Linked DNA regions of Mus musculus. The protein of the gene in region 2 interacts with the protein of the main gene of each other region in a biochemical or structural test. Links are inferred from orthologs where the notes say so. Each region holds a gene or a part of one and is shown on either strand. Other genes may lie near its edges. The genes, in order: Ubd and Nub1.

The links.
Region 1: the proteins of Nub1 (region 2) and Ubd form a complex in vitro, tested with the Homo sapiens proteins (6 studies listed by BioGRID, with this or other methods). The link is inferred for Mus musculus from reciprocal best matches to the Homo sapiens genes NUB1 and UBD.

Annotation. Positions count from the first base shown.
Region 1 is NC_000083.6:37,189,710-37,200,740, reverse strand, and holds Ubd (ubiquitin D), read right to left. Parts: upstream 6,850-11,031; 5' UTR 6,790-6,849; coding exon 6,769-6,789; intron 5,496-6,768; coding exon 5,028-5,495; 3' UTR 4,640-5,027; downstream 1-4,639. Other genes in the region: Olfr94 (olfactory receptor 94), read left to right, coding at 2,775-3,935. UniProt on the Homo sapiens protein: Ubiquitin-like protein modifier which can be covalently attached to target proteins and subsequently leads to their degradation by the 26S proteasome, in a NUB1-dependent manner.
Region 2 is NC_000071.6:24,685,167-24,695,836, reverse strand, and holds the start of Nub1 (NEDD8 ultimate buster 1), read right to left. Parts: upstream 10,023-10,670; 5' UTR 9,886-10,022; coding exon of another isoform or gene 9,815-9,885; intron 6,458-9,814; 5' UTR 6,445-6,457; coding exon of another isoform or gene 6,444-6,444; coding exon 6,327-6,443; intron 3,031-6,326; coding exon 2,863-3,030; intron 1,138-2,862; coding exon 1,076-1,137; intron 318-1,075; coding exon 247-317; intron 1-246. UniProt on the Homo sapiens protein: Specific down-regulator of the NEDD8 conjugation system. Recruits NEDD8, UBD, and their conjugates to the proteasome for degradation. Isoform 1 promotes the degradation of NEDD8 more efficiently than isoform 2.

The DNA.
Region 1 (11,031 bases), on a different chromosome or scaffold from region 2:
ACATAAACTCAAGTCTGAAAATGGGGACCAGAGGTTAAACATGAAGGTAAGTTTGCTACATTCCCCTAAGAATAAATGATTTTGCAGCTCAGGGTGTGTTCTCAAAGATCAGGGGAGGTTTTAAGACGCATTATTGAATTGATAACATATTTTGTCTTCTGAAAACTCAGTGATGTGGGTGTGCGTTAGAACTGTGTTCTTGGGGATTTGTACATAAGAAAAAGACATTGTCTGTGGAGTTTTATAAGTGTGTACCCGTTTTATTCATCCCTGAAGGCAAATGTTTTAGGACTTGCCTAGCTGTGCTGACATACGGTTATGCAATCCCAACACTGAAGAGTTTGACTTTTTGTAATTCAACAACTCCAGCCAGCCACTACTACTTCACAGTTTATTGCCATGTCTTAAATTTCATTCATGTTCCAATGCTATGAAGTTGTCTAGAAATAAAGATGAAGCTTTTCATGTCCCTTTATCGTCCATAATCTGGCATAATAGAACCTGTGAACTCAGCCAAGACCTTGGAGTTAATCAGGTTTAAGTCAAAATCTTCTATCATTCATAAACAATGTGACGGTGGACACATTTAATTTTGATGCCTGATTTCCAATCAAGGAAATATTAAATTTAATACATGATAGGAAAGAAGATCTGCACTTCAAGTCTGTTACCCCTCATGTCCTAGAGCTTGAGTGGTTCAGGAACACACACACACACACACACACACACACACACACACAGTAGTCTCAGCTCTCAGGTGGCCAAAGTAGGACAATTCTGAGTTCGAGGCCAGCTTAGAATAATACATAATAATAAGACTCTGTCTTGACAAACAAAACAATTTCCCAGGCCAGGGATATGATTCAGTGTGTGACCAGTAGGGAGATATATATATGCACAATGCACAAAGGCCCTGGGTTCAATTTCCAACACTAAAAAGTATCAAATAATGAAAACAAAACTGTATATGCTAGCTTATAAATAGGGGTGATAACAGTTAACACTCACCTACTGTGTGCCAGGCACTGTTCAAAGCACTCTGTGTATTTAACTCTTGTTACCAACTTATGTTTCCATGGGACGAATAGGGGCACAGAGGGGTTAGGTACATGCTCATGGGTATCATCTAGAAAGTAGCAGAATCAAGACTCAAATCTAAGGAGCCTTAAGTTCTTATTCACATTGAAACTTTCTCTGCCTGGTGAGGATAAGCAAGGTGTTGTATTGGGAGACGGATTACTTCCTGAAAAAAACTAAAAAGCTTGTGATTGATCGATTGGGGGTGGGGGTGCGTGCCACATCATACGTGTGAAGGTCAGAGGACAACTTGAAGGAGTCAGTTCTCTTCCACTATATGGATCCCAGAGTTGAAACTCAGGCCATCAGGCAGCAAGGGCCTCTACTTGGTAAGACATCTTGCCAGGCCAGAGGGCTGTGGTTCTTTTTAAATTAAAAGCACTAAGTGTGTTCACAAGTTATATATGTGATATCTGTCATAAAGCATGCATAGAAAGACTCTTGTGCAAGTTTTATCTATTCTATCAACCATGATAATTTCTGTATCCCCCAGATTGTTGAATTCAGTATCAATACCTAGAGCCTTGAAATCGAGGTCCTTTTTGTTTCTTGCATTTCTTTTAAATTTGTTTGAGAAACAGTTGACAGGAAAGCCCATGATAGACCCAAGAAGTCAAATTCCACCACCATTTACACATGACAAACTTGAAGGAGAATGATATGAAATGATTTCTACATCTCAAATAACCAACCAGACACTGTTGTTTTAGCTGAGTACAGTTTGAGGCCTGAGGGCTCCTCATTTCTGGTCTGATAGGAAGTATTCCAGTATAACATGTTAAAAACAAACTCACAGAGTAGGAGCATAGCTCAGTCTGAGCATGCTTAGCATGTGCAAGGTCCCAGATTCAATCCCCAGCCCAAGGGGGGGGGGGGCGAGGCACAATAAACTTTAAACGGGTTTATTTGAGCAAATAGCTATTTCTGAATCAGGCAAAAGTGGTTCAGTGGGCCACAGCCGGGAAACATAGGGAACATTTTGATAGGATGAACACAGAAGTAAAACAAAGAAACATTTGGGTGGATGCTGGACACTGTAGCTCATGATTATAATCCTAGCTCTCTGGAGGTTGACACAAGAGGATCAGGAGTTCAAAGGCCATCCTCTGCCTCTCAAGTAGAACTGAAGGCCAACCTGGGCTTCATGAGGCCCTACTGGAAAGAAGGGAGGGCGGGAGAGAGAGAAGCAGGCAGGGAGAGAAGGAAAGAAACCTCAAGACAGGCAGAGACAACGGAGGCAGAGAGGAAGGAAAGGAGACTAAGGACAAAAATATTTGATTGGCTACAGTTACCATATTTGGTGTAGTCCAGTGGAAACTATAGCTAGATATTTCTTGGCTCCTCCTATCAGAGCGCACTTGGCTTTAACTGTTGCATAAACAGAAAAGTGGATGATACTGCTCCATCTAGTCTCACTCAGGCTTAACTCTTAGACAACGCCCACTTTTAAGGAAAACTGGGGGCGGGGTGCTCAGAGTGGAGTATGCCCTTCTTATACAAAGTATCTTTATAGCTGCCCTTAGGAGGAATGCTGAATTTCTTCCTTAATCCCTGGAAGGGCAACCAGAACCAGGAACACAGACCTGGTTAGCTAGCGATAGACTTAGGACAATTTGATCTTGTAAGTTGTGTCTAATTGGCTCACCTGTTAAGCACAGTTTCTATCCCCCTTGAAGGACTTGTAAAGGAATACTGGGATGTGGCTATGTAACAAAACCAAAACTTGGGCATGTGCCGAGTTTATCCCATATTGGAGGTTCTTGTTTGTTGTGGTTAGCGGTAAGACAGGGTTTTACTATGTAGCTCTGGCTGGCCTCGAACTCACAGAAATTTCTGGCCTTTGCCTCCCAGCGCAAGGCCCGCAACACTGTCTAGCATTAAATATTTTTGTCTCGCCTTCCGAACCTTCTTGGAGTTTTCCCCCTCAGGCTAACCACAGCTCAGCGGAGCGCTTCCTACTGCTGGGTTTCAGCGACTGGCCCTCTCTGCAGCCTGTCCTCTTCGCACTGGTCCTTCTCTGCTACCTACTAACGCTCACCGGCAACGCGGCGTTGGTGCTGCTGGCCATTCGCGACCCTCGCCTGCACACACCCATGTACTACTTCCTTTGCCACTTGGCTCTGGTGGATGTGGGTTTCACCACTAGTGTGGTGCCACCGCTGCTGGCCAGCCTGCGCGGCTCAATGCTGCAGCTACCGCGCGCTGGGTGCATGGCTCAGCTGTGCTCATCGCTGGCGCTGGGCTCCGCCGAGTGCGTGCTGCTGGCCGTCATGGCGCTGGACCGCGCGGCTGCGGTATGCAACCCTCTGCGCTACACCTCACTGGCCTCGCCGCTACTGTGCCGCACGCTGGCCGGAGTCTCCTGGCTCGGTGGCCTGGCCAACTCCGCGGCGCAGACCGCCCTGCTGGCCGCGCGTCCCCTGTGCGCACCCCGCTGTCTGGACCATTTCATCTGCGAGTTGCCGGCGCTGCTGCAGCTGGCCTGCCGCGGCGGCCGCAGCGCCACCGAGCGCCAGATGTTCGCCGCGCGTGTGGTCATCCTGTTGGTGCCTTCGGCGGTCATCCTGGCCTCCTACATCGCCGTGGGCCGCGCGGTCTGGGGCATGCACTCCAGCTCTGGCTGGCGGAAAGCGGCGAGCACATGTGGCTCTCACTTGACCGCGGTCTGCCTATTTTATGGCTCTGCCACCTACACCTACCTGCAACCCACGCATAGTTACAACCAGGGCCGTGGCAAATTCGTCTCGCTCTTCTACACGGTGGTCACTCCCGCTCTCAATCCTCTCATCTACACACTGAGGAACAAGGAAGTGAAGGGGGCGGCACTGAGGCTCTTGCGGAGTCTGGGGAGGCCATAGGTGGGACAGTGAAAAAACTGAGAAGGGCTCAGAGTCCTGGAAATAGGATGCTCATAATTTTTGTCTGTGCATAAGGATCTGCAAGTTTTGTGCTCCGTGAGTTCTGGGTTAGTAGCGAGATTCTTTTCTCTCACCGGGTAGGGTTTGAATTCTTGCGGGGTGCGGAGAGGGGACTCCTGAAATATATAAACACTCTTAAATGGTGATGTGGTAAATGGCTCTTGGGACTCTCAGTAAGGAGGGAAGCAGGATGCAGGAGGGGGTCAGATGCACTCTGAGGAGACTTTGTACCAGCCCTGAAGAATCCACCTGGAGATAAGATGATGAGCACCCTGGTGCTGACCTTTATTTTTTTCTCCAGGCTTACAAAAGACCTTAAAAAATTCCATGACCTCGCCCATCAGGTGGAGTCTCTCTCGGGTTAACAAAGAAGTTATGGGCCCCACCTTACAGAGATCTCTTCCAGAAACAAGACATGGTTTCCATTCTTGGGGAGCCAGTCCAGCTAATGCAAACCTAGCCAGGTCACCATGCCCACTACAGAACGTCAAAGAATGTCTGCAAATAATAGGCAATTGTGCTGGCCCTGGTTAAACTGGGACTCCCATCTGCCGGATAGGATAAGGCTCTTCCCCTTCCTTGCCCACCCGACACGTGGAGAGGGTGTTAGGTTTTATTTCATACCAAATATCTTTAAGAAGATGATGACTGAATTTAAATAATTTATTAGACTATGATCCAGTTATGGTAAACAATCATATTCCATAACACATTCTTTCTCTATACTCTATAATTAAAATTCAATTTGGTTCAACAATCATTCATTGATCCACCTTCCCCTGCATCCCAAGTCCTGGAATTAAGTTTGCACCACCACACCTGACTAAAGGTTCAGCTTTTGCCCTCATCAACAACCCTGCGAATGAACTATGTTAGAAACAAGATTCACAGACTTGACAAATACTTTTAATCTACTCCACTTCCCTCAAATATTTATTTCATTCTCGTTAATTTTTTATATCATCAAGAGATGTGATTGGTAATAGCTCAGAGGAAATCGGCTTTGAGCTTCTCATCACCGCATCCCCGTGGTCATCCCCCAGTGCAGTGTGTTGTCAGAAAGAGCAAACTGCCACTCTTGATGTTGTAGTCAGCCATGATCTTTCCATCTTCCAGCTTCTTTCCGTTGCAATTCACAACCTGCTTCTTAGGGATCACAGAGGTCACACTCTCGATCATCTCTTTCACCTGGGCCACTGAGCTGGATCTTCGAACTCGGAGGAGGTGCCTTTGCCCCTCGTTTTTGGACTCCACCAGAAACAAGGGCAGCTCTTCATCACTGGGCTTCACCACCTTCAGGGTAAGGTGGATAGTGGTTTCCTTGTCAATCCCATAGGATGACAATTTTCGATGGGGCTTGAGGATTTTGGAGTCTAGCAGAAGGATCTGGTCCTGTACAGAGACCTTGGTTTGGGACCTAATATGTTCATTTATCTTCTTCACTTTGTCATTCTCAGTGGTCTCAAAGGTCATTAACCGCCATTGGTCTGAACGGACAACCTAGGCAAAGAAAGCCAAGAGCGTCATCTAAGAACGCCTGCCACCCTCTACCCCCTACTCCTCAGCTTCACTGTTCTCCTGGTTGGCCCTCTGGCTCCTTCTCAACAGTCTGCATCTCTCCCTCTCTTGCAACTTTTGATTCCTACATCATAACCCAAATCAGAACATCGGCTTCGTGAAACTATAGGGCTTCAAACGTTGTATACAGATCCCTAAGCAAACCCAAAGAGGATTTCCAAGATTTGGCAGCCTCACAGAATGCTCTCAGCCATGACTCACCCTCTGTGACTAATTCAGAAAGAACCCTAGTTAAGACATAGTCTCTACACTGCTGCGTTCTTATTAATGTTCCCGTCCATTTCTGGTAATGTCCATGTTGTGGTGATGCTGTGCTTAATGGTGTTAATGTGTATCTCTTGTATTTTATATCCATTGATATAGAACATAATATCCTTTTTAAATTAGACCAGGATCCCATTCACAGAAGACAAAAACTATATCTGAGTTTAACTTCATTTACTGAAGAATTAAGTTAGGGAAGAATCAGGCCTGTAAACTTTATGAAAACTTCCTCATACTCCATTCAAGGAACCTTCCCAACCTAGATATTCCATATTCTTCTTCAGTTTTGTCTTGTATTGGACATTGCCCTAATTGCACATTCTTTACATTGGAGCATAACCTGTTTAAGGTAATGTGTTAGTTATGTCACCAATAACAAGAAAAACAAGTTTTATGAAGTTTTCCTTTGAAAAGAGAGAGACGCTTAAGGCTGAGAACTCTGTAAGTTATTTTCCTAATTTCACATCTTGCCAGCCTCATGAAGCAAAGTGTCCTACCATTTCTCCTAAGTGGGGATGGCAAAAATGGCTCAGCTGTTTAAATAAATAACAAATAAGTAAATCAATCAATCAATCAGTCAGTCAATAAAATCTCTTGCTGCCAAGCCTCACCTTTAAGCTTGATCCCTAGAACCTATGTGGTGAAGAGAGAGAACTGACTCCTGAAGGTTATCTTCTGGCTCTGACCCACCATATACATGCACACATATAATAAATAAAATATTTTAAAAGTTTAATAAGTCAAATGACCAACCTCTCTTCAGAGTACCCTCTTCCTATTGTGCAGTTATCAATGTCTGCCTTTTCTCCTAAATGTTTCTCACCCAACTGCCTCACCTTCTAGACCACTGTCCCCTCCCAAGTTGTGGAACTGTACCCCCAATACATGGAAATACTTTTCCTTCCCATTCGTTTACCAAACCCCAACTTACACAGGTGCGGACAGAAGCCATGTCTGTAGTCAGAGGCTGAATAAGAAAAGAGTCCTTGTGTCTGCTTATATGTGAGTAGCTGGGTTGGAAATCCCCAAGTTCAATGTGTTGTCCAGTTTAGCAGCAACCTTTGTTCTCAATAATTCCTTTCACTTTTGCTGGGGTAGAGTTCATAATGGACACTGTTTGTACACAGATTTCTCCCCTTAGCCAATCTATCTGTATTCCTAGTTCTGTGCATAGAATAGTCATTCTAAGATAGGAATTTTGCCCAGGCTGAAAATCCCCCTACCTTCTCCCAATCCTGCCTTAGTTCTGCCCAGCTACTACTAATCTTCCACTAGCTAGCTTGATAATTTGTGATGCTTGCTTACCCTCCCTCACTGCCTAAATGAGCCTGGACTGCAGCTGTGACTTGGTGTCCTGGGGTAGGGTACCGCTTGCTACATACATTATGTTGTAAAAATATGTTCCCCTCTTTTAATATAGGTTAACATAGAAGGCCATTCCTGGTGTCTCCCCAGCATATAGAACCTTGCTTATAAAGTCTTTAAACACACACACATACAAACACACACACACTTACTTTGGATTCTTGGTTCTTGAACCTCTAATACATTTCCCAACCTGACTCAGAATCTGCAAACCAAACATACTACTTGAGAACAATCCAAAATCAACAGTTAAATTCTGACTCCTACCTTTCTCCATATGTGCACCACAGTTCCTGGATTCCCACCCCCACCCCCTTGGCTCTCAGATGCCTCCTCTCCCTGAGGCCAGAGACATGTGATGGTGCTATTCCCTCACTGTTGAAAGTTGGTTGAATGAGACCAAGATTGTGACTGAGCTGTCTCCTCAAGAAACCTGATACTCCTAATATTCCAAGTTTGACATTGGCTTCTGAGGTAGGACACTCCATGAAACTAATTTTCAAAATTGTTTATTAAACAGCTTCAGGGGTTCTCCCCCCCCCCCAAAGAACTCTGTAAATTTTCCAAATTATTCCTCTTGTTTTCTGTACTTGAAGTGGCTATGTACTCATCCACTGAAAAACCTTTTTTTCTTTTTTTGATCATGTTTTCCCCTCCCCCAATTCCTCCCAAATCTTCCTTCTCACCTCCCTACCCGCCCAACTTTACGTTCTTTCTCTGTCTCTCAAACACACACACACACACACACACATTCAAAAATGTAAAAACAAATAAGCAAAAGACCATAAAGACCATGAGACAAAACAAAGAAAACAAAAACCTCCAAACAAAGCAAAAAGTCTACAAAATATACCATCAGTCAGTAGTGGGCCAGCTACTTCTGGTTATGTAGCCTGCCCTAAAGTATGATTAATTTACCTAATGAGACTCCATTGGAGAAAGCTGATATTTCTCTTCACTGGGCAGTATCAATTGCAGAAACTTCTTAGGAATGGGACCCCAATGTTCACTCCCCCCTTTAATAACACCTTAAACTGTGTCATTTTATTTTAGGGGGTTCCATTCTGAAGAATTTGGCTTACAGAGTACCTGTGCTGAATAAGACAATCAAAAAGGTTGCTTGATTCAAGGCCTGTGCTATAATGAGGTAGAATTTCTAAAAGAAATCTTCCCAAGGTAATGGACCTGCCTTTGTTGCCCAGGTAAATCAGAGACTGGCCAAGATATTAGAGATTGGTTAAAAGTTACATTGTGCATGCAGGCCCCAAAGCTCAGGACAGGTAAAAAAATTAATAAAACCATTAAGGGATCCTTACCAAATTGACAGCGGAGACTGGCGCTATGATTAGATAGCTCTCCTACCCTTTATGCTCTTCAGGGATAAAAACACCCCTGGACAGTTTAGACTGACCCCCCTATAAATTACTCTACAGGGGGCCCCCTCCACTGGTAAAAATAGCCTTTGTACATGGTGCTGACATGCTGCTTTCCCAGCCTTTGTTCTCTAGGCTCAAGGTGCTCCAGTGAGTGAGACAGGAGCGAAAAAGCAGCTCCAGAAGGCCTACTCAAGAGAAGAAGACCTGCTACATTAGACGTCTCCACACAGAAAACCTTAAGACTCCGGTGGAAAGGCCCTTATCTTGTACTCTTGACGACCCTACTTTCTACCTTTATGGGACCTCTTTTGATTTTGCTTCTGCTTTTAATTATAGGTCCATGTGTGTTAAATAGGCAAGTCACCTTTATTAAAACAGAAATGAGTGCAATGTGGCTTTTAGTTTTAAGACAACAGTACCATGCCCTAAAGTAAAGGATCAAGTATGTCAGGAAAAAAATAGTGTCTAGTTCTAAGATTAGAACTACTAACAAGTAGAAGGGGGGAATGAAAGTATAACAACGTAAAAACAGAATTCTAGGCCTTTAGGCCCAGGCTTGGGAATGTGGCCTTTGTAAAGGTATGCTAATCAAAAAAGAGAGCAACATTCCTCTACCCACCCGCTTCCTGGGTTCAAAGAGTGCTCATTCAAAGAAAGTCACCCTGGCCATTACCAGAACCTGCAATGCAAATGTGCTATTGTTAGAGGCTCTTAGAAGCTGTCTTGAGAGTTAACAATTACCAGGTATTCCTTGTGACTCTTGTAACTTTACACTTCCTTGTGACTCTTAACTGGTATCTTTGGTATCTTCCAACAACGCCCTCCCCACTTCCTTAAGTTTCGGTTTCTTTAAATACCCCCTTACCCAGCTACTCGGGGCGCCACGGTCCTCTACCCCTGCGTGGTGTATGACCATGGGCCCGAGAGCGCTCTTGAATAAAAATCCTCTTGCAATTTGAAAAAAAAAAAAAAAAAAAAAAAAAAAAAAGGTTGCTTGAATATTTCAATATCCTAATGAAAATTGCATTTGAAGCTCTTATTAGACAGTCATTAGCTAAACTAAAATTATTAGTGTATATGGTAGAGTAATATACTTTTTTAAACTCATAGCACGAAGGGAAAAGTCCCTTGTAGAATATTCTGGATGCCACTGGCTTCGCTGTTCTGTCAGCTTTCTCCAGCTCCCTGTTCTCAAGGATTAACATTCCAGCTTCTGACCTTTAGTTGCCACCATTGTCCAATAGGAACTTGGAATTCTGAAGCATCATCAGTCTCCAGCAGAAAACATCATCTCAGATTGAAGGTGAATAGAAAACCACCTTGCAGTGAGGCATCAGGGAGAACCTGGCAGAAGAGACCAGATAAGCTGCCAAACCTGGTCTGCAACAAGCTCCCTTCACATTCTAATTCCTATCTGCAGTCACTATTTTCTTATACATTTGTTCAGAATTGTTTGGGCCAGAGCCTGGGCTGTGCAGCCCTAACAACCTAGGCTTGGCCACTCCTGTCCTCCACATGCCAATAAACAAGTAACGGTGACAAGCAGAGAAAGGAGATGTATTCAAAGGGGTCATCACAAGAAAGAGAAACTGGGGGCTGGAGAAATGGCTCAGAGGTTAAGAGCACTGACTGAGAATTGATTGACTGAGTCCAATTCTCAGCAACCACATGGTGACTCACAGCCATCTATAATGGGATCTGATGTCCTCTTCTGGTGTGTCTGAAGACACATACATACATACATGCATACATACATACATGCATACATACATACAATAAATCTTTGAGAGAGAGAAAAAAAAAGAAAGAGAGTTTCTAGGGAGGTTCCTCAAGTTCATCTTCAGGTCCCTGCCTATAACAAGCTAGGCAAACTCATGACAAGAAGTCTTAGCCAACATGTGGTACTTTCCATTATCATTACCTAGGTTATAGTCCACCCTACATGGTAGTCTGGTTATAGTCCATCCTACATGGTAGCCTGGCAGGTTGTCAGAACTGTGTGCAATCTCTTTCCAGAAGACAAGCTCTCCTCTCCACAATCGGGGGTGGGGGTGGGGCATCAGGATCCAGTCTTTCCCTTTTCCCAGAATGAGATTCCTGGGGAAATTCAAATTTGGGTTTCAATAGTCTGGTCGCTAAAAGGAGGGATAAATATCTCTTTGAGTATTTTTGTTCCTGCCAGAGGGAGAGCAGATGTTAAAGTGTTGCTTAAAGCTACACGCTATTTTCATCCTTTGTCCTTCCTTGTCCATGACTGTGCCAGCATTTGGAGTCACAGGTAGCAAGGACCCTTGACCAGAGCTACCAGGAGAGCACGTTACCAGGTTCCAATTCCTAGATAGGACTTTTGTTAGGAATGATTTTGTCAGCCGAGACTACAGAGCTGTGTCACCGCAAGTCAGCAGGTCTAGCTTCATCACTACAATCCCTCCATTTTCCTGAGCACATGGAGC
Region 2 (10,670 bases):
TCAGCACAAATTGCATTCTGGAACATTCTATGAGACTGCCATGAATGTCTCCCTTTCCCACTAGCCAGAGCAGGCCAGTGATTATTTACTGGAATGCTCTTTTCTGCCTAACATTTATGGTAAACTTACAGAATCAACTCTGGAGAATAAATGCAACAAAGCCAGTAAGGTTTCAATAGAGGAAGAGGAAAAGCAAAACAAACCAAGAGACGTCAGCCATCAGATGCATACTTTGCTACAACATACCTAGTTGAAGCTGTTTCTTATTTATTACGATCTTGATGTAATTTTCTTGAAATCCGAAAGTTTCAGCTATTCTATAAAATAAAGGCAGAATGAGCTCTGGGAGAGCAAGCTTGTCACTTGTCACCTACCACGGAGACTTGGGTTATGAGGTCCTTTCTGCTACTTTATACTTTCTACTCACAAATACCCAGGCCCTCCACCCACTGACCAGTGAGCATCACAGTACAATAATACTCCAAGCGGGTGAGCCAAGCCCCTTCTACACTTGGTTCTGAGTTGAGGACTGCAGGGCTGCCATTTGAGCAGAATCAAAAACATGCTTGCCGTACTTCCCAGCATCCATGGGATCCTGAAGCTAGGGCTATCCTATACCACTGTCTACTTGCGGGCATTGAATGAGTGGCATGTCCTGGTTCTCCTTAACCCTGATGGAAGCTGAAGAAGTGAGACAAATAAACTAAAGGGACACTTGGGATGATGGCCGGCCTTCACTGACCAGCACCCAAAGGAATGGAATGTATAAAACACGTGTTCTCTTGGTGCAATGTTCCTCCTGCTTCCATCCCTCAGCTAGCCACTGCAGTACCTTGGGCATGTCTGTGGGCACCAAGCTGCAACCTTCTGAAAGCTGCACTACATCTAAGAAGCCCCCGTTGTCTCTGGTGTAGCAGTGAGCCCAGCATGCCTGCCACCCCACCCTCCAGGCTTCCTCTTCTCTGCTGTAAGGGGAGGACAGGCCAGCTGCCTAGCTTACAGGATGGCTTGAGTGCATCCAGAAGCAGGGTAGGTGAGAGGGCCAGACCTGCAGGCACCCAGCTCAGATACTCACTGACACCTCAGGTCTCTACCAGTGACATGCAAGCGGGTCTCCAACAAGCTTTTCTTATCGTGCTGCAAAAAGAGAAAACAAAAGGCTTGTGTGTGACACTCCTTTGAACTGTTGCCCTGCATGAAGTTGTAAGGTGCTGTCAGGATGCAAGCACAGTGTTCTACTTAAGGACCAAAACACTGTCTGAACGGAGAAGCATGCTGAACATGGTCCAGCACAAACCAACAGGGTGACCTGATTGTCCTATGGCTGCTCAGTGGGATTTGTCACATGCCAGCCACCATCATAATTGAATGGAGATGGCTCAGTGGATGTGTCTATACTCCTTTTATAAAGGACCCGAGCTTTCTTCTTAGCACCCATTTCCTCAGACTCAGAGATCTCCCTGCTGCAGCCTCCTGGGTTAAAGGTCTGCACCACCACCACCCAGCAAAAATAAAATCTTAAGAGAAGAAAATGTTTAATGGAATTTCTGAACCCTCCCTCCCATCTCATCACCCCTCACAAGGCACCATGTCCAGCACCCCATTCCTCTTTTCTCCAGCCTTGCAACCATTATTTCCTGTCTCTGGAGTTGTCTGTTTTGGACACTGCACATGAGCAGAAACATACAGCATCGGTCCTTTCTGCATGTTTTTGAGGTCCTCTCCTATTACAGACAATTAATGTCGAATATCTGTCACACCAGTCATCTTCTGTGGCGTGGATGCTCTGCTCATCCACACAGTCACTGACACAAGTTGGGCTGTGTCTACCTTAGCCTGTGGTGAAGGCTCACCTGTCAGTTTATTCTTACAACATCTGGTGTGTGGTGGTTGTACTTGCTAGTGTGGGTGTGTAAGCAAGCACACACATGCTTGATGACAGGTGTCCTGTCTTGATTATTTTCCACATTTTCATGTTATAATAGTCTCGCATTGATTCTGCTGGCCAGTGAACTTCAGAGCTTCATACACATCTCTGTGATGCTGTACCAGCCAGTGCTGGGGTTGCAGGGCTTTTTACAGGGACTCCAGAGTCTTCATGTCTGCACTGACTGGGTCATTTCTCCAGCCAACTCTCCCTCCTCGAACTTGGCTTTTCTGTAGTAAACCCTGGTCACTGGTCTGGATGAAAAGAGCCTTCATCTGCTAAGTCATCTCCTGGCTCATGTGACATTGTTTCTGTTTTGCTTTCCAAAAGAGAGGGTCTCATGAGCTGACCTTGAATTCACTGAAGACAACTTTAAACTACAGGGAGGCCCTGGCTCCCAAGGGCTGAAATGACAACATACACTATCATGCCTCACTTCTGTGGCCCATGCTTTGAAGGCCAGACATGAACAAGCCTACCTTAAATGTGTGAAGATAAGTTTATATCAGCAACCATTCAACACATGGAGTTCCTTAAGCACGTTTACAAAAAACAGTTTGCTGAGCATGTGTCTTTTTTTTTTTTTAAGATTTATTTTTTTTTTATTATTATATGTAAGTACACTGTAGCTGTCGTCAGACACTCCAGAAGAGGGAGTCAGATTTCATTCTGGATGGTTGTGAGCCACCATGTGGTTGCTGGGATTTGAACTTCAGACCTTCGGAAGAGCAGTCGGGTGCTCTTACCCACTGAGCCATCTCACCAGCCCTGGGCATGTGTCTTTAATCCTAGCAGAGGCAGCAATCTGGTCTACATACAGGACAGACAGGACCACCCAACACAAAAAGATCCTGTCTCAAAAAGCCAAACCAAGCAAACCAACAGCACAACCACAGCTCATCTGAGCACAGCAAGGCAGTCCCAAAGTTACTCACCTTCCGGAGCCTTGGAGGCAGGAACACCTCAATGGTGGCGATCCCAGTTGTTCGGTAGTGTTCATTCCCAGTGCCGCGCTCAATTGCTTTGCGTCGGATTTCCTCGATTATGTTTTCCACTTCGTTTTCACAGCACTCCAGCCGCTCAGAGTACTTCTTAGCAAGGTCCTATGAGGAGAAACCAGAAACAGGTCAGGGGAGATCCAGTGCACACACAAGAAAACTGCATGTGTGCGTGTGTGTATAAATATAAATATATATAGATAGCTAGTTCCCAAAGCAACGTTAATTCTTACTAGCAGATGCCCCCACTGTACTGAAACTCAATCTGGGCTCTCAGGGAGGATTCAGGGAGAAATTTAAAACACTTATAAACAGTAAAAATAGGTTTGCTGGTCAGAGTGAGAGTAACTGGGACTATTCCAGAGAGGTGGAAGGGAGGACTGAGAAGTCTGTGACCTTAATAGACTAAGAAATTACTTTAGGAAGCAATGAACTTAGGGCTGTGACAATGACAGCTCAGCAAGTAAAGGCACTTGTGGCCAAGCCTGACACCTTGAGGTCAATCTCTGGGCCCTACAAGGTAGTGGGAGAGAACCAAGTCCTATAATTGAATTCTAACCTGCACAAGTGTGACATACACACACACTTTTATTTTTCAGTTGTGGAGGCTGAAGAGATGGCTCAGAGGCTAAGAGCATCTTTGATTTTTTTGTTTTGTTTTTTGTTTTTTGAGACAGGGTTTCTCTGTATAGCCCTGGCTGTCCTGGAACTCACTTTGTAGACCATGCTGGCCTCGAACTCAGACATCCACCTGCCTCTGCCTCCCCAAGCGGTAGGATTAAAGGCGTGCACCACCACCACCTGGCTGTTTTTTATTTTATTTTAGGATTATTTTGTTATTTTGTATATGTGAGTGTTTTGTTTTCATGTACATCTGTGAACCACACATGTGCCCAATGCCCAAGGAGGTGGTAAGCCTACTTGTGGGTACTGAGAATTGAACCTGGGTCCTTTGTAAGAACAAGTGCTCTTAACCACCAAGCCAACTCTCCAGCCCTATGGTTTGTTTTTCTTTCAGTGACAGACCAAACATAAGCCAGTGTTCTCATAATATACAGTGCATAAGAGCCACTTTTAAAAGGGCTTGTTTTAGTCGGGCAGTGGTGGAACACGCCTTTAATCCCAGCACTTGAGAGGCAGAGGCAGGCGGATTTCTGAGTTCAAGGCCAGCATGGTCTACAGAGTTAGTTCCAGGACAGCCAGGGCTACACAGAGAAACCTTGTCTTGAGGTGTGAGGGCTCCTGTGGAGACCTTCTAGAAGGCAGCAGATCCCTGGAGCTGAAGTTACAAGCAGTTGTGAGTCACCCCATATGGCTGCTGGGAGCTCAACTGTGATCCTCAGCAAACCTTTAACTGCTGAACCTTCTCTCTAGACCTAGAAGAGACCATTGTAATGTCCATGTTGCATGTCTGGGAGATGTTGGTGTGAACAAGTCTACTATGATGCCCGTTCTGTCAAGCACAGGACACAGTATCAGCACAGCACACACATACTGCTTCATGCGAGCACATGGCTACAAAACCAGCCTTGGTTCTGTTAGCTTGTGCTCCTCTGACTTTTCTGAAAGAGTTTACTCTGAAGCGTAGTGTGTAAGTATTAAAAATCAATCTACAGTACTGCTGGCTACTCTTCGGCTGTGGTGGTCTCCATACCCCCATGGCTATCCTCAAACCACAGTCCACCTAGTTTCCCAAAGGTGTTCGCATTCCCAGTCATCCATCCCCTGCAGCTAGTCTATCACGACCTGCTCTAAACCCTGAGCCCTATATAAAGAAAACTCCAGAGGCTTGTAATTTATCAGTCAGAATTCTCACCCACAAAACACCCACACAAAGAACTCAAAACTCAACTGATATAGATACAAGCTGCACACCTAGATCGGACAAAGTACCCTATATTATTCTATTGTTCTCCTATGATCTCCATAGCTACCTATGGCTATTTCCAGCCATTTGGATACACTTCATCTTACTCTCCTAGAGGTTCCATCCACTCTCCCTGTCCCATCTCTTCGCCCGCCTTCTTTTTCCACTGCCCAATCACAGGCTCTAGCCTTATCTTTCACCTGCCCTCACCTCCGCATAGGCAACAATCTACACTCAAGTAGTGTGGAGGCAGCAGCAACCTCAGACCCCTAGAGGGTGGGATGGAAAGCATGCAGCTTCTAATCAAGGCTTCCTCCTTCTGGCAGCTACTTTTCCCCTAAAACTATTAGGGCCTCCAAGCCTCATTAGGATGTAAGATCCAAGACTGTTCGATCTGCCAGGAACTGGAGATTAAGACTAGAGTCTTATTTATAATGTCTCATTAGTTCAAGCTAAGACACCATAGCAAGCAAGTTCAAATGACTTTAAAAATAGCACATCCAACCGGGCAGTGGATAATTATACTGTTAGGTTTAGAAAAAAAAAACTAATAAAACCATAAGAATTGCCGGATAGTGGTGGCACACACCTTTAATCCCAGCACTGGAGAGGCAGAGGCAGGCGGATTTGAGTTTGAGGTCAGCCTGGTCTACAAAGTGAGTTCCAGGACAGCCAGGGCTACACAGAGAAACCCTGTCTCAAAAAAACAAACAAAAACCCCAGCACATCAGTGTCCAGGTTTGCCTGTCTTCCAAAGGCTGTGTTAAAGGAGTAATGTGCAGGGCGCTGGCAGCTCTGCATGGTGGGAGGTTCCTAAGGATAAGGCCTTCAGGGACACATCATCCCTTTCAGCTTCCTGGTTTAGGAAAAGAGTGTCTTCCTTCACCACTGGGGCCGCCCTGAGCCATGTGGTTGGGTGGTGTGCCTGAGGCAGGAGTTGATTCACACCTGCTTAGGTGAGTCACAGGGCTCTGAGGCTGCTGCTGCCTCCACACCTCACATAAATCTTTTTTTCAGAAAAGAGAGGAGCACAAGCCACTGAACCAAGGTTGGTCTCACAGCCACACCTCTCTGTGTGTGTGTGTGTATGTGGTCTCACAGCCACATCTGCTCTCACTAGGAATCAGCCCGTACAGGACTGCCTGTCCCAGCCTCAGTTATCATCTTTGCCCTGAGGCTTGTCACAATGTGCCACCCCAGACAAAGTCCCAAGGCTTCAGGACCACTCAAGCTTGAGGAACTTCAGGAAACATAAACCAAGCTACTGTGTTATAGTTAAGAGGACTAACACAATGCCTGGGAGATCAGGTAACATAAAAATGAAACGCCAGCTTGTGGGGAGTGGCTTGGTAGCAGGGAGCTTGCATACACAACCTATATGAAACCCTGGGCTCTGCCTCTGCTGCTGAAAATTAAGTAGAAAATTGTTCATTATAATGGCTCTGGTGTGTCTCCAAACTTCACAGCTGTGCCTAGTCCTTTCTGGTGACTTCAGAAGAGTATTTACTAAGTAGGCTTTGACACTGCAAAATACCTTTACGGCCAAACCAACTTCCTTATTTTCTTTAGTATATGGAGGTTTCCAAAGTTGAATTCTGTCTTCCCTTAGAAACTGAGTCAGTTTTGCTTGAAGATATTTCTTCTGCGCCATCCTTGAAAGTAAAACTGTAAATCAATAAAAGCCACATCACATTTTAAAATGCTTTACACATTACTAATCCACTAAGTAGTTAGTGTTCCCCTCCGCACCTCAGTCAGCTTAACCTGAGCTATTATATCCAATTATATGCAAGGCAGTAGATTTTTATTGTTCCTTTGTGTCTGTTTTTTAGGACAGGGTTTCTCTGTACAGCCATGGCTGTGTTGGAACTCGCTCTGTAGACCAGGCTGGCCTAGAACAGAGATCTGTGTTCCTTTGCTCGCTTGAGTACTGGGACTAAAAGCACCTATAACCAGCCCCAGTGTACCATGCCCACTTCCAACTGCTAATATGTAGCAAGGAATAGCATGCTGTCCTGTTTGTGTTAGAAGGGAGCAAACCAGGGCATTCTGCACTATGAGTGCTGGGTCCTGTTCTACGCAGCCCAGCCTCACCTCTCCACTTCTTACCCTGTTATTCTCAGAAAGACAAGGAAAGAGGCTGGCCAGACATCTCAATGGTTAGAGCACTGGCTATACTGCCAGAAAGAAGTCAGTTTGGTACCAAATACCCCCATGGCAATTCACAATCATCTGTAACTTCAGTTCCAGAGGCATCCAAGGCCCTCTTCTGGTCTACATACATACACGCACGCACACACACACACACACACACACACACACACACACACACAAACACACATATACACATACATACATACATACAGGCAGAATACCCATACACATAAGAAAGACAAGACAAACCCTTTAGTAACCCAATCTGTACTTTGTAAATTCTCTCACACTTGGCCACTTTAACTCAAAGCCTATGATTCAGCACAAGAGGAGCACATCTGAACTCTGACCTATCAGTACTAAATGCTCATACAGTTCAACTCTGAAGGACAGTTAGCGAGGTGTGGTGATGCACACCTCTACCCCAAGCTGTTGGAGGGCAGACAGGTAGATCTCTGAGGTCCAGGCCAGCCTGTCAAAAATCAGTCAGGCAATCAATAAAAGAATTTATGTGGTGATGCATGCCTTTAATCCCAGCACTCGGGAGGCAGAGGCAGGCGGATTTCTGAGTTGAAGGCCAGCCTGGTCTACAGAGTGAGTTCCAGGACAGCCAGGTCTACACAGAGAAACACTGTCTCGGAAAAAAATAATTAATTAAAAAAATAAATAAATAAAATGAAAGAATTTACAGCACTGCACCATTTCAGTCTTTGTTGCTTTGTTTAGTTTGAGATTTGTTTGTCTTTATAACTTGTTTCTTGGTTTTGTTTTCGCTGGTACTTCTGAGAGCACAATAGCACATCTCACTAGATTGATGTTGAGGCTAAATCACTTTGCTGCTGGAAAACCCCAGGCCCAGGTTTATAAAACCACAAAATGAGCCCAGGCCAGAACTGGCATGAGACAACTGCCTACGACATGGACTCTAGCTTGTCTCACAATCCTGTGCTTCTTGTCCTCAGCACTTCCCCTTTCTTACACAGGAGGTGTGACATAGCTTCCACAGGGTGGGGGAGGCCACTGAGAGCCTGGGGCAGCTGGTAGTCAAGTGTTTCAAGGCTTGCCAAATCAAACCAAATAGGAAGCTGCTCACTCCTCATTGGTGAACATGAATTCCAGAGAATGGAAAATATGTGAATTAATAACTTAAGTTTCAGCCTTCTAAACAGAATCCACCTGATCTTCAAGCCAACTGTGGTGACTTAAGCATTATTCCATAACCATGCTTTCAAAAGGGTGCTCAGATCTGAGATCGAGAAACAGGTCATCAGGATAGCCCATGGAGTAAACATTGTGTGTATGCATGTCAGACAGGGCGAGAGGGAAAGAGAGAGACAGAGGGAGGGAGAGAGAGAGAGAATGAACATGCTGTGTGTTTTTACTCACAAGCTCACCACAAGGCACTTAGGAGCCTTACAAATACAAGTCTATTAAACCTCCAGACACAGGACTCAAATCTATAGAAAAAAAATTTTTTTTTTAATTTTTCGAGACAGGGTTTCTCTGTGTAGCCCTGGCTGTCCTGGAACTCATTCTGTAGACCAGGCTGGCCTTGAACTCGGAAATCCATCTGCCTCTGCCTCCGGAGTGCTGGGATTAAAGGCGTGTGCCAGCACGCCCAGTTTAGAAACTGAGAAAAAGATTACTGCCATCTCCTAAGGAGGTGGCAGGGATAATTTACTAGTACCCAGCTATTCAGAAGGTTGAAAACAGCCTTTCAGACTGTACCCAGTCCACTGTCTGATAAAAGAAGCCAAGGCTATCACAACCCTTCATCTGTGCTCCACACTGTTGCTAGGTCTGCATCACGTAATATTTATTTATTTATTTATTTAGGTTTTTTGAGACAGGGTTTCTCTGTATAGCCCTGGCTGTCCTGGAACTCACTTTGTAGACCAGGCTGGCCTCGAACTCGGAAATCCCCCGCCTCTGCCTTCCAAGTGCTGGGATTAAAGGCGTGCGCCACCACGCCCGACTAAGTTTTTTTGTTTTTGTTTTGTTTTTTTTAAAACCATGACAGAGTCTCACTACTCAGCTCTGTCCTGGAACTTACTATGTAGACCAGGCTGGACTTGAACTCACAGAGATCACCTGATCATCTCTGCCTCCTAAATGCTGGGGCTAAAGGTATGCCATGCCCAGATTAACATAAAGATTTAATGTTGAACAAAATTAAACCACCGGCTTGATTATAGTTTTGCTCGCCTTTAGCGAATTCCAGGACAACCAGAGCTACATAGTGAGTCACCATCTCAAAAAAATTAATTAATTAAATTAAACCACTGTATTCAAACCTATGAAAATCCAGTTACAGGTACCAGAATGACATGTGTTAGGTCAAAAGGAAGAAAATCTAACAGCCCAGTTTTCAATTTTAATTGGAGAACTGTTTCATGTGTGTTGCTGGGCGTTCCAACGCAGAAAACACGTAAATCATCAAGATCAGCGCTCTGAACCGAAAGTGAAACCTTAGGCATCAATGTTGAAAATACCACTTTCACTTGTAGATCAATCGAGATTGCATACAACCTTACGCACATTCAACACGTTCCCTCTCGGGGAAATGACATGCCATTAGGGCCTCCTATTTAAAAGCAAGGGAAGGAGGCGAGGACAAGTGTGGGTCCAGAAAGCTTGCGTTCTCACACCCCGCGTTCCGCTGTCAGCCCCGGCAGTCAGCTCATCCAAACTCAAGCTGCTGGCTGGTGTCCATCCCTTCCCCTCCGCCCCGCCGCGACCCCCTCCCGCTTCCGCCCCAGCCCGCCTCGCCGCGTCCGCCTGGCCGCTCCTGCCCACCGAGCCCACGGCCGCCCCGGCCGCGCTACCAGGCCCAGGCCCAAGGCCCGGTCGCTGCCGCAGCCGTCTCACCTGCGCCACTGCCGAGCCAGCTGCGACCTGCCGAGTGCCCGGATGCGGCAAAGGCCGCCGTTTGTTTTCATTCCGGGTGAGGCCGGCCCCGCCCCCGGCTCCGCCCCCTCGCGCTGTCCGGAAGGCCGGTCGAGGACCGGAGCTGCATGGAAGGGTGGGGCCAAGGGGCTTGAAGGGCGATCTGAAGCATCGAACGGAAGGAAGCCCTGAAAACGCGGCTGTGGGCGGGGCTAGTATTTAATGGGCGGGGCTGATATGGGGCGGGACAACAGAGTAGATGGAAATAGGGAGAGTGTAGCTAGGGCGGGGCTGACGTGTAAGGGGGAAGAGAGACAAAGTGGTTGGGGCGAGGGCCGCGCTGAGGGTCAGGCGATCTGTGGGCGGGGCTGGTAGTTTGCGGTGGAGCGGATGTGGGACCGGGCGAGGAGGAAGATGGAGGCAAGGGCCGACTGTAGGTGGAGCTGTTAGGTGGAAAGGCAAGGCTAAAACTGGTCAAAAGCGGTGGGAGGGGGTCTGCTGTGCAGGGGGAAGAGGCGTGGTGAGGAATGGAAGTGAGGCAATGCTAGTCTTCAATCACGAGGTCTTCGGACCACTCCCAGACCGAGTTTTTCAGAGTCAGAGGAAAATGAGTCTGCCTTTATTTATTCCCCAAAAGCCTTGACAGAGCAAGACCTGTTTTCCTGAACCTTTTCTCGTCTTCCCTCTACTAGGCCTAGGGGATCCCCTAGACTAAAGGATTCTCACACTACCCTCCACAATCCCACCAGGATCCCCGCTCATGGTGAAGTTAGGTACGCTACCCATGCCTCCCTCCAGCGGCTACTCCCACCATGAGTACAGTAGATAGAGACATCTG